Linked DNA regions of Saccharomyces cerevisiae S288C. The protein of the gene in region 2 binds, or shares a complex with, the protein of the main gene of each other region. Each region holds a gene or a part of one and is shown on either strand. Other genes may lie near its edges. A codon is read from its position in the direction of its gene.

What was found.
Region 1: the proteins of NAT1 (region 2) and NAT5 are in contact, whole or in part, in a cryo-EM structure (PDB 6HD5), measured with the Saccharomyces cerevisiae proteins. Residues at the interface, in NP_010244.1 of Saccharomyces cerevisiae: Pro376 (codon at 2,050), Thr377 (codon at 2,047), Gln378 (codon at 2,044), Pro380 (codon at 2,038), Ile381 (codon at 2,035), Ile384 (codon at 2,026), Asp412 (codon at 1,942), His413 (codon at 1,939), Thr414 (codon at 1,936), Pro415 (codon at 1,933), Thr416 (codon at 1,930), Tyr421 (codon at 1,915), Gln446 (codon at 1,840), Leu447 (codon at 1,837), Asp448 (codon at 1,834), Leu449 (codon at 1,831), Gln450 (codon at 1,828); in NP_014896.3 of Saccharomyces cerevisiae: Asn14 (codon at 1,037), Asn15 (codon at 1,034), Leu16 (codon at 1,031), Gly17 (codon at 1,028), Met18 (codon at 1,025), Lys21 (codon at 1,016), Val25 (codon at 1,004), Tyr66 (codon at 881), Ser67 (codon at 878), Ile69 (codon at 872), Pro70 (codon at 869), Leu99 (codon at 782), Asn101 (codon at 776), Tyr102 (codon at 773), Lys105 (codon at 764).

The regions. Positions count from the first base shown.
Region 1 is NC_001147.6:802,348-805,452, reverse strand, and holds NAT5 (peptide alpha-N-acetyltransferase subunit NAT5), read right to left. Parts: upstream 1,077-3,105; coding exon 546-1,076; downstream 1-545. Other genes in the region: protein-transporting protein SEC63, read left to right, coding at 1-421; TMA16 (Tma16p), read right to left, coding at 1,250-1,786; TUM1 (thiosulfate sulfurtransferase), read left to right, coding at 1,989-2,903. UniProt on the Saccharomyces cerevisiae protein: N-alpha-acetyltransferase that acetylates the N-terminus of proteins that retain their initiating methionine. Has a broad substrate specificity: able to acetylate the initiator methionine of most peptides.
Region 2 is NC_001136.10:378,264-383,436, forward strand, and holds NAT1 (peptide alpha-N-acetyltransferase complex A subunit NAT1), read right to left. Parts: upstream 3,176-5,173; coding exon 611-3,175; downstream 1-610. Other genes in the region: NAD-dependent histone deacetylase SIR2, read right to left, coding at 1-182; pheromone-regulated protein PRM7, read right to left, coding at 3,722-5,173. UniProt on the Saccharomyces cerevisiae protein: Non-catalytic component of the NatA N-terminal acetyltransferase, which catalyzes acetylation of proteins beginning with Met-Ser, Met-Gly and Met-Ala.

The DNA.
Region 1 (3,105 bases), on a different chromosome or scaffold from region 2:
AATACTTCAAACGCCAATTATCATTGAAAAGCTATCTTACAAGAACTTGAACGATGACAAAGATTTCTTTGATAAGAGGATAAAAATGGATTTAACCAAACACGAAAAATTCGATATAAATGATTGGGAAATCGGGACCATAAAAATTCCATTAGGTCAGCCTGCACCTGAAACTGTTGGTGATTTCTTTTTTAGAGTAATCGTTAAATCCACAGATTATTTCACTACAGATTTGGATATTACCATGAATATGAAAGTTCGTGATTCTCCTGCAGTGGAACAAGTAGAGGTGTATTCTGAGGAGGATGATGAGTACTCTACTGATGACGACGAAACCGAAAGTGATGATGAAAGTGATGCTAGCGATTATACTGATATCGATACGGATACAGAAGCTGAAGATGATGAATCACCAGAATAGATATAAGTGATTAGTATAGTTTTTCATTTTAGCTCTTAGACGTATATATTTCATCTTTATAAAAATAGATACATGTGTATACAAAGCAAAACCAAAAAAAAAAAAAAAATTTTTCAGCCATCTGTTAAGAAATGTGTTTTTTCAATAAGATAGCATCTTGTTCGTCGCCATTTACACCTTTTATGAAATTGTTGACAGTTTCGCCCACTTGTTCGAAGCCATGAGCTATAAACCATTGCTTTGTAAGATCATCCACTGCTGGTAAATAGACAAACACGTTATGTTGATGACATTCTGAGCATTTGTCTTCTGCAAACTTCAGTAATTTTGAACCGATGGATTTGTGCCTATAATTAGGCAACACGCCCAAAAATTCGATTTGAATGCCCTTGAGAGATAGTTCGTTTTGTTTTTTAGGAACTAATTTAGCAACCAAACCACCCACTGGTATTTCACTGTAATAAGCCATCTGTGTGAAATGTACATCCTTCTTCGAAGATGGCTTTTTATTTTTTGCAACTAAGCTATCCTCAGCGAATAATGCACTGAAGAAGGCATCTTGATATAAGTTTGGTACTGTCACATGAGCTAGTTTGGTTAGCATGCCCAAATTGTTAGCGTAAACATTGTCTAATGTGCATATATCACGGCCCATATTTCGCACTACTCCCTTCAATTGTCTTTGCCAATTTGTTTGTTACGGATTAATTTGTGAAAAAGCTTCGCTAATAATATCAATTTTCTTTTTTTTCTTTGCTTTTTCTACTATAATATACATAAAATTATATAAAGAGCATATAAACCATAAAGATTCCTCTGCGACACTTCTTATTCATTTCCTCCAACGACTTGTTCACCTTTATCATTAATTCTGATCAATCTTAGAGTATTCAAAAGGCCAAAAGTGCCATTCCAGTTTCTTAGAAATTCCATATTCTTCGCATCACTCAAGTCTGGACAGAGAAACCCCGCCTTAAATTCTTTTAACTCTTGATCCCTCCTTTGTTGCAGTAGCACTTGTCTATTGCTTGGTGGCCTGTTTGACCTCCTCTTCTTCTTGAGTTCGTCTAATTCCGTATCATCTCTTTCAATAAAACTTTGAATAAACTCTCTTGTGTGGGCGTGATCAAATATTGGTTGCCCTTTGAATGTATCAGAGTTAACTACATCCTGCATAAATTTTACCCGAGCTAGTTCGTGGACTCTTTTGTCTTGATGAAGCTTCTTTTTGGCTGCGATTTTATCTTCACGCATAGTAGCCCTGACCAGCTTTTCATACTTTCTACCCTTCGGATGAACCGTGATATTTTTCCCTTTCTTGGATAAGTTCTTTTGCAACTTAGATAAAGATTTAGTAACCGGCATGATTAGTTTGTCGTGGTAAGTCCTGTTCCGATACTTTTCTTCTTAGAAAGTACCTTTAAAGAGCTCATCTCTCATCTCGTCTATTAAACCATTTTAAAATTTTCGCTCGGGATGTTCAGCTGTGTACAATAATACAGCGTAAGTGCATTCAAACAATGAGGACAAAAGCATAAAGTTGTGAAGAAAATTGCCCATACATTCAATGCCATTATTTGATCTTATTTCTCCAAAAGCGTTTGTTAAGTTAGTGGCCAGTGAGAAGGTTCATAGAATCGTTCCAGTTGATGCAACATGGTACCTACCCAGTTGGAAGCTTGATAATAAAGTGGATTTCTTGACCAAACCACGTATACCAAACTCCATTTTCTTTGATATTGATGCAATCAGTGACAAAAAATCGCCCTATCCACATATGTTCCCTACAAAGAAGGTTTTTGACGACGCTATGAGTAATTTAGGAGTTCAAAAAGATGATATATTAGTGGTTTACGATCGTGTTGGTAACTTTAGCTCCCCTAGATGTGCTTGGACATTAGGAGTGATGGGACATCCTAAGGTGTACTTACTAAATAATTTCAACCAGTACAGAGAGTTTAAGTACCCTCTAGATTCCTCTAAGGTGGCAGCGTTTTCACCCTATCCAAAGAGTCATTATGAGTCCTCAGAAAGTTTCCAAGACAAGGAGATTGTAGACTATGAGGAAATGTTCCAATTGGTAAAGAGTGGGGAACTGGCTAAGAAATTCAATGCTTTCGATGCAAGGTCGCTCGGTAGATTCGAAGGTACAGAACCAGAGCCTCGTTCCGACATTCCATCGGGGCATATTCCAGGTACCCAACCATTACCATATGGAAGTTTACTTGATCCGGAGACCAAAACGTACCCAGAAGCTGGGGAGGCGATACACGCTACTTTGGAAAAGGCATTGAAAGACTTTCATTGCACTTTGGACCCAAGTAAACCAACTATTTGCTCTTGTGGAACTGGCGTTTCAGGAGTCATTATCAAGACAGCATTGGAGCTAGCAGGAGTTCCCAATGTTAGATTATATGATGGATCCTGGACCGAGTGGGTCTTGAAATCCGGGCCCGAGTGGATTGCTGAAAACAGAGATTAATAAGAGAAATATATTCTTGACAAGTCGATTTATTTAGCTACATATATTAATTATCTATCTACTTACTTAAAGGGCGATCTCCCTTTCTTTGTCTTATTTGTGCTCTTCATTGTTATTGCCCGGTAAAATAGAAAATAACAGCAAAAAATAAGACTGCTGGCAAAAATGAGCAGAGACCTTTCTATCGAGGGAAAAGAACAAA
Region 2 (5,173 bases):
TTGGTTTCCCTCAAGGAATCCGGCTGTGCTACTTTTATCTTCTTATGTGAAGGTTCATCATTATTTATAATGTCATCGGGTTGTTTTCTGATCGCGTCTTTATCTTGTGTGGGGCTTACTGTATTTGAAACCTTATTTTCGCTAGTCTTTGATACGGCGTATTTCATATGTGGGATGGTCATCCAGCTTTAATGTGCCGATGAGGGAAAAATGGTTTGAATGTGTCTACCGAAGCGATGCCTAATTTCTTGAAATACGTGAGAATGGGCTTTACATCTCTTCACTAAATATATTTTTCTTGGGTGGTGAAAAAGACAAGTCTTTCAAACTATGCGACCTAGAAAAAAAATATTTTACCGCAACTGGCGGCCAAAGAGGACAAAGAAAAATTCCTCGTTTTTTCTCTGAGATGGGAAAGCAAGAATTTTGGCAAGAAAAGGTCCTGGCTGTCCTGGACCATGGTTGGAAGGAGTGCTAGATGTAGCTTGGAAAAGAAATGACCTATAACAATGTATCTTTTATGAGCATATGCGCATGCATATAAGCATATACATAAAAAATATATACATAAATTAAGTAAGAGTTAATTGACACATTGAGGAGTTGCAGGCTACAAGTAATACTGTAGAATTTCGTTCTGGGAGTGAGGCTCCAAGGGAGAAAGACTGCTAATAATCATTTCTTTCAAATTAGAGCTTCCGATCGGAACATCATCGCGATAGCGATACAGAAATAGCAGGCCATTTATATCATTCTTACCGAATTTTTCTTGGTAGAAATTCAGCCAATCGAAGCTATTGTTAGATATTTCGTTTAATGGGAAATTTTCAGAATACTCTTTTTCAAGGCTCTTCGTGACTACTTTCTTCAAAATTGGATCAAAGGGGGTGTCGTTTCTTGTGGCATGTAACAAAACAATGGCCATACTACCAAATAAACCGCTCGTGGTGCCAAATCTCTTAGCGAATTTGTTTAGAGAAGCAAAGCACAAAGCTAACTTTCCAATTCTGTAGTTAAATTCAAAGTCCAAAATATAATCCCTTTCGTCTTCTCTGACTTGCATGGAGTAGTTATTATAAAATTCGGTAGCGAAGTCCTCCATTGGAGTGGAGGTTTCAATCAACTTTTCGCCGAATACATCGTTATCTTGATCACTCGGATAAGCAGCAACACTCTTGGCTTCAGTTTCTTTCCGTTTGTTCATAGCGGCTGCTTCCTTCTTAGCTTTTTTCTTTTGGCTGCTACTATTTTGGCCATTATTTTGGATTTCATCTGAATTTTCATCTAAAGAATCGGACTTTCTTTTTAAGCGATCATCATGCATTTGAAAGTAAAGCTTTGATGCTTCCTTCATTGCGCGAACATACATGGGTTTGGTATAAAGTGCCTTTCCCCATTCTAACATCTCCAGATAGGCTCTTGGCGTACCTTTTCTCATACAGTATGAATGGAAATCCAACTGGTCATCTTCGAATTGTTTATAAAACTTTGGAATAGCGTTGAATCTTTTCAGCGCCAAACCTTTATATTTGCGAACAAGCCATTGGTTTTCTTTGATATCATTCGCAATTTGTTCGCTTTTATCACTTTCAACCTCTTTTTTTAGCGATGCTAAATCGTCTAATTTCTTTTTTCTATCCAGGTATAGTCTATAATAGGCTTCTGCCTGTTCTACGATGAACCAAGAAGCTTCCACAAGGTGTAAGTCCTTAATACCATTAACAGAATCATCGTTTTTGGTGAAAAGGGACGCGACTTCCACCGCCTTGTCGATATTGTTAGCCCTTAAAAAGTACTTAACCGTTTTACAGTTGATAAATCTATCCTGCAAATCAAGTTGCCTACCTTCCTCCAAAATTCCAGCCGCTGTGTCCATTAGGCCTAAGTGCTTCAGGATACGTGCCTTGAGGATGTAAAACTCAACTAAAGTTGGGGTGTGGTCAAGGGCAGCATCAATATATTCTTGGGCTTTCGGAAAATCCTTAAGGAAAAGGAAATGTTGAGACAAGTAATAATTGGTCCAAATAAAAGGAATTGGATCCTGCGTAGGATCTAATCCGGACAAATAATCAAGGACAATTTTCTCCAATAGTGGTGAAACCTTGGACTTCCTTCTTTGGTAAAGGGGTTTCACGTTGGAAAAAGTTGCTGGAACACCGCGCTCCAATTGAGGCAAAACATATTCTCTCAATTTTTTGCTGAGCTCTTCTTTGTCTTGAAGGAAAGTTAATGGAATAAATTTGGGTGGTTCGCATCTTGGATAAAATTGTTCAAGTTTTCCATACAAAGCCTTCTTCAATTTATTGTCACCTTGGATTCCCAAGGATACTTCCAGTAATTTGTAGTACTTAAAATTATCTGGATTTCTCTTGATCAGAGTTCTATAAACAATGGACGCGTCTTTCAATTGACCCAATTTCATGTAAATAGTTGCTTTTCTCTCTAATAAACCAAATTTATCAAAGACGCATGGCTCGATATCATTCAAATGTTTCAATACATTTTGTAACTTGTCTTGGTTATCACTGGCAGCTTTATACATAATGTCGTTTTTGTACATTAAACACTCGCTGTGTTCATATTTCTCGGAATCAGATATTTTTCCCTCAGCGAGTTTTTCAAACTGAGATAAAGTGTTAATAGCTTGTTGCCTCTCACCGTTCACATCTTGTGCCACAGCCAATGATGTCCAGTTGGCACGGTAACCAAGGAATGCTTCCCAATATTTTTTCCTGGACACTAAAGCATTTTTGAAATCGCCAATTTGTGATTGCAAAGTTGCTAAGTCTCTATATATTTGCTTGTTAGTGGACCCATTGTTCAAAGCTGCCGTGAACCATTTAATAGATTCTTTGTACTCTTTGGTGTTTCTCATGTAGATACCTAATACATGACAGCAGATTGGTGATGCTGAAGCGCCTTCAATTTTTCTGATGGCATTAGCCACGTAGGAAGCAGCGTCATCTTTCTCACCTACAGAATATAAATCAAGACCCTTTAAAGCCAAGGAATCAACGTGACTACCGTCTTTTTTCAAAATTGCGTCTAGCAGCTTGAGAGATTTTTTGTATTGCTTCCCTTCGTATAGTTTCAATGCCTCGAGGAACTGGTCATTTTCTTTTTTCAAAGCTATTTTAGCTGCTGGCTTGGGCTTAGTACTTCTTTTCCTAGACATACTTCGTTAGGGTCAATCGCCTTCCTCAATGGTATTTGTCTTAAACAAGGAATCTGAACATCACTTTTTAAAAAGGTTTGACTTTTGAGTGTAGAAACTTTTTCATTTTCGCTCTTTCCTCTTTACTCTGTATTATGTTCTGTTTCGACGCGGAGCAGGGTAAAAAGTGCATACGCAACCCAGCGACCTCATTAGCAAGGTCATGCAATTTGGTGGCACATTTCAGGCCTATCATGTCTCCAGTTGTACAATAATGAAAATTTAGCAGTATTCCCCCTTTAAAAGATTAAATAGCGATTATATAATCAACTCAAAGAGTTTCCTTAGCAGTCCTCTCTCAATTTTGAATTGTCGAATGTCATGGCGTTCTCGAAGCACTTTGCATACTTCAAGGAGTGGACAGAAAGAGTCTGATAATAATAATTTTTTATTGAATCCGAAGATATTCTATAATCAAATTTAACTATTATTCTATGTAAAATCTATAATTGGTTTATATGGTATACGAACGAGAATGGCGTAGGGACATGAAAGATGGTAGAATGACTAAATGAAAGCTAGAGGAAGAGCGGCAGCGAGCCACACCAATTTTCCTACTGCTTCAATGTTTGCGCTGCCTTCCATGATTAATGAAATGCTGGCAGATGATGTAATGGCTCCTGTTGATACAGCAGCAATGGAATGCTTTGATGTGATAAATGCGTTAGTAGTGGTGGTCGTGAAGGAATTTGTATAATGAATGGCACTGGATTGACTAGAATAATCTTTAGTTGAGGTACCAGAAACACTTTCTAGAGAGGCAGCTGCAGAAATATTGTCCTCAATACTGTGATTCATTACGGAAGCAGTTGATTGAACGTTACTTATAGTAGACGTTGATGCAGGAGAAGTCATAAATGCAGATTGTTTGGTGATGGTAGTGTCTTTGGGACCCGAGTAATTTGGGTTCCCAACCTCAGACTGAATGTTAATGTTTGAAGTTACTAGTGTTGTATGGCGAGTCGAGTCAGTAACTCTACTGACAATATCGGTGACGCTTGCGTGAGCTGATGCATAAGTTCTATCTAATGTGATTGGATGAGCTGAGGAAGATGAGCCGACTAAACCATTTTCACTGGCTAGAGTCGTTGGGTCTGCTGAAGTTATGCTAGGATATGAAGATTTAGTTGATTGGAATGCGTCAACTACAGAAACAGAACTTTGGGTCTTCGAATCATTGCTGCTAACTGGCATATTAGGCTTGATTATACTTGTTGCGCTTGACCTACTCGAGGAAGCCGAATCAACTGGGGTTAAAGTTACAATCGAAGAACTTGAAGTGGCCGAAATTCCTTGCTGTCTAGAAAGGCTTAGACTTTCCGACGCAATTGGAATGCCCGTGGAAGTTGATCCGGTCGAAGCTGTTGGATATACTGGGCTATTCGAGACAGCGAAAGTGCTTGGGTCTACTTGAGATCTTTGAATGGATGAGACGCTCAAATCAGCTGAACCAGTTGAGGAAACCATATCAGTTAGACTAGATGATACTGTTTGGGTATCTTGGCTGGTTGAAGTGGTTGAAACCCTTAGAATGATTGTGTCAGAGAAAGTAGCTAGATCTGTTGAAGTAGTTGGACCACTTGGTCTGGTTGAATAAACTGAGGTTGAACTGACAATAAAACTGGTTGGTTCAGATGAAGTTGAACTAACTACAGAACTAGCTGGATCAATTGAGGCGCTACTGATGATAGTAGTTGCACCGCTTGAACTAACGATGGAGCTAACTGGATCAATTGAAGTAGTTTGAGCCGCTAAAGTAGCTGAACCGTTTGAATTAGCAGAAATAGTCACAGTGCTTGAGCTAGTTGGGTAAGATGAAGTTAAACTGACAACAGAACTAGCCGGATCAACTGGAGCGGAACTGACTACAGAACTAGTTGGATCAACTGAAGTAGTTTGAACGGTCGAGGTAGTTGAGTCAGCTGAAGTAGTTGGGTCTGCTGAAGTTGAACTGATAAC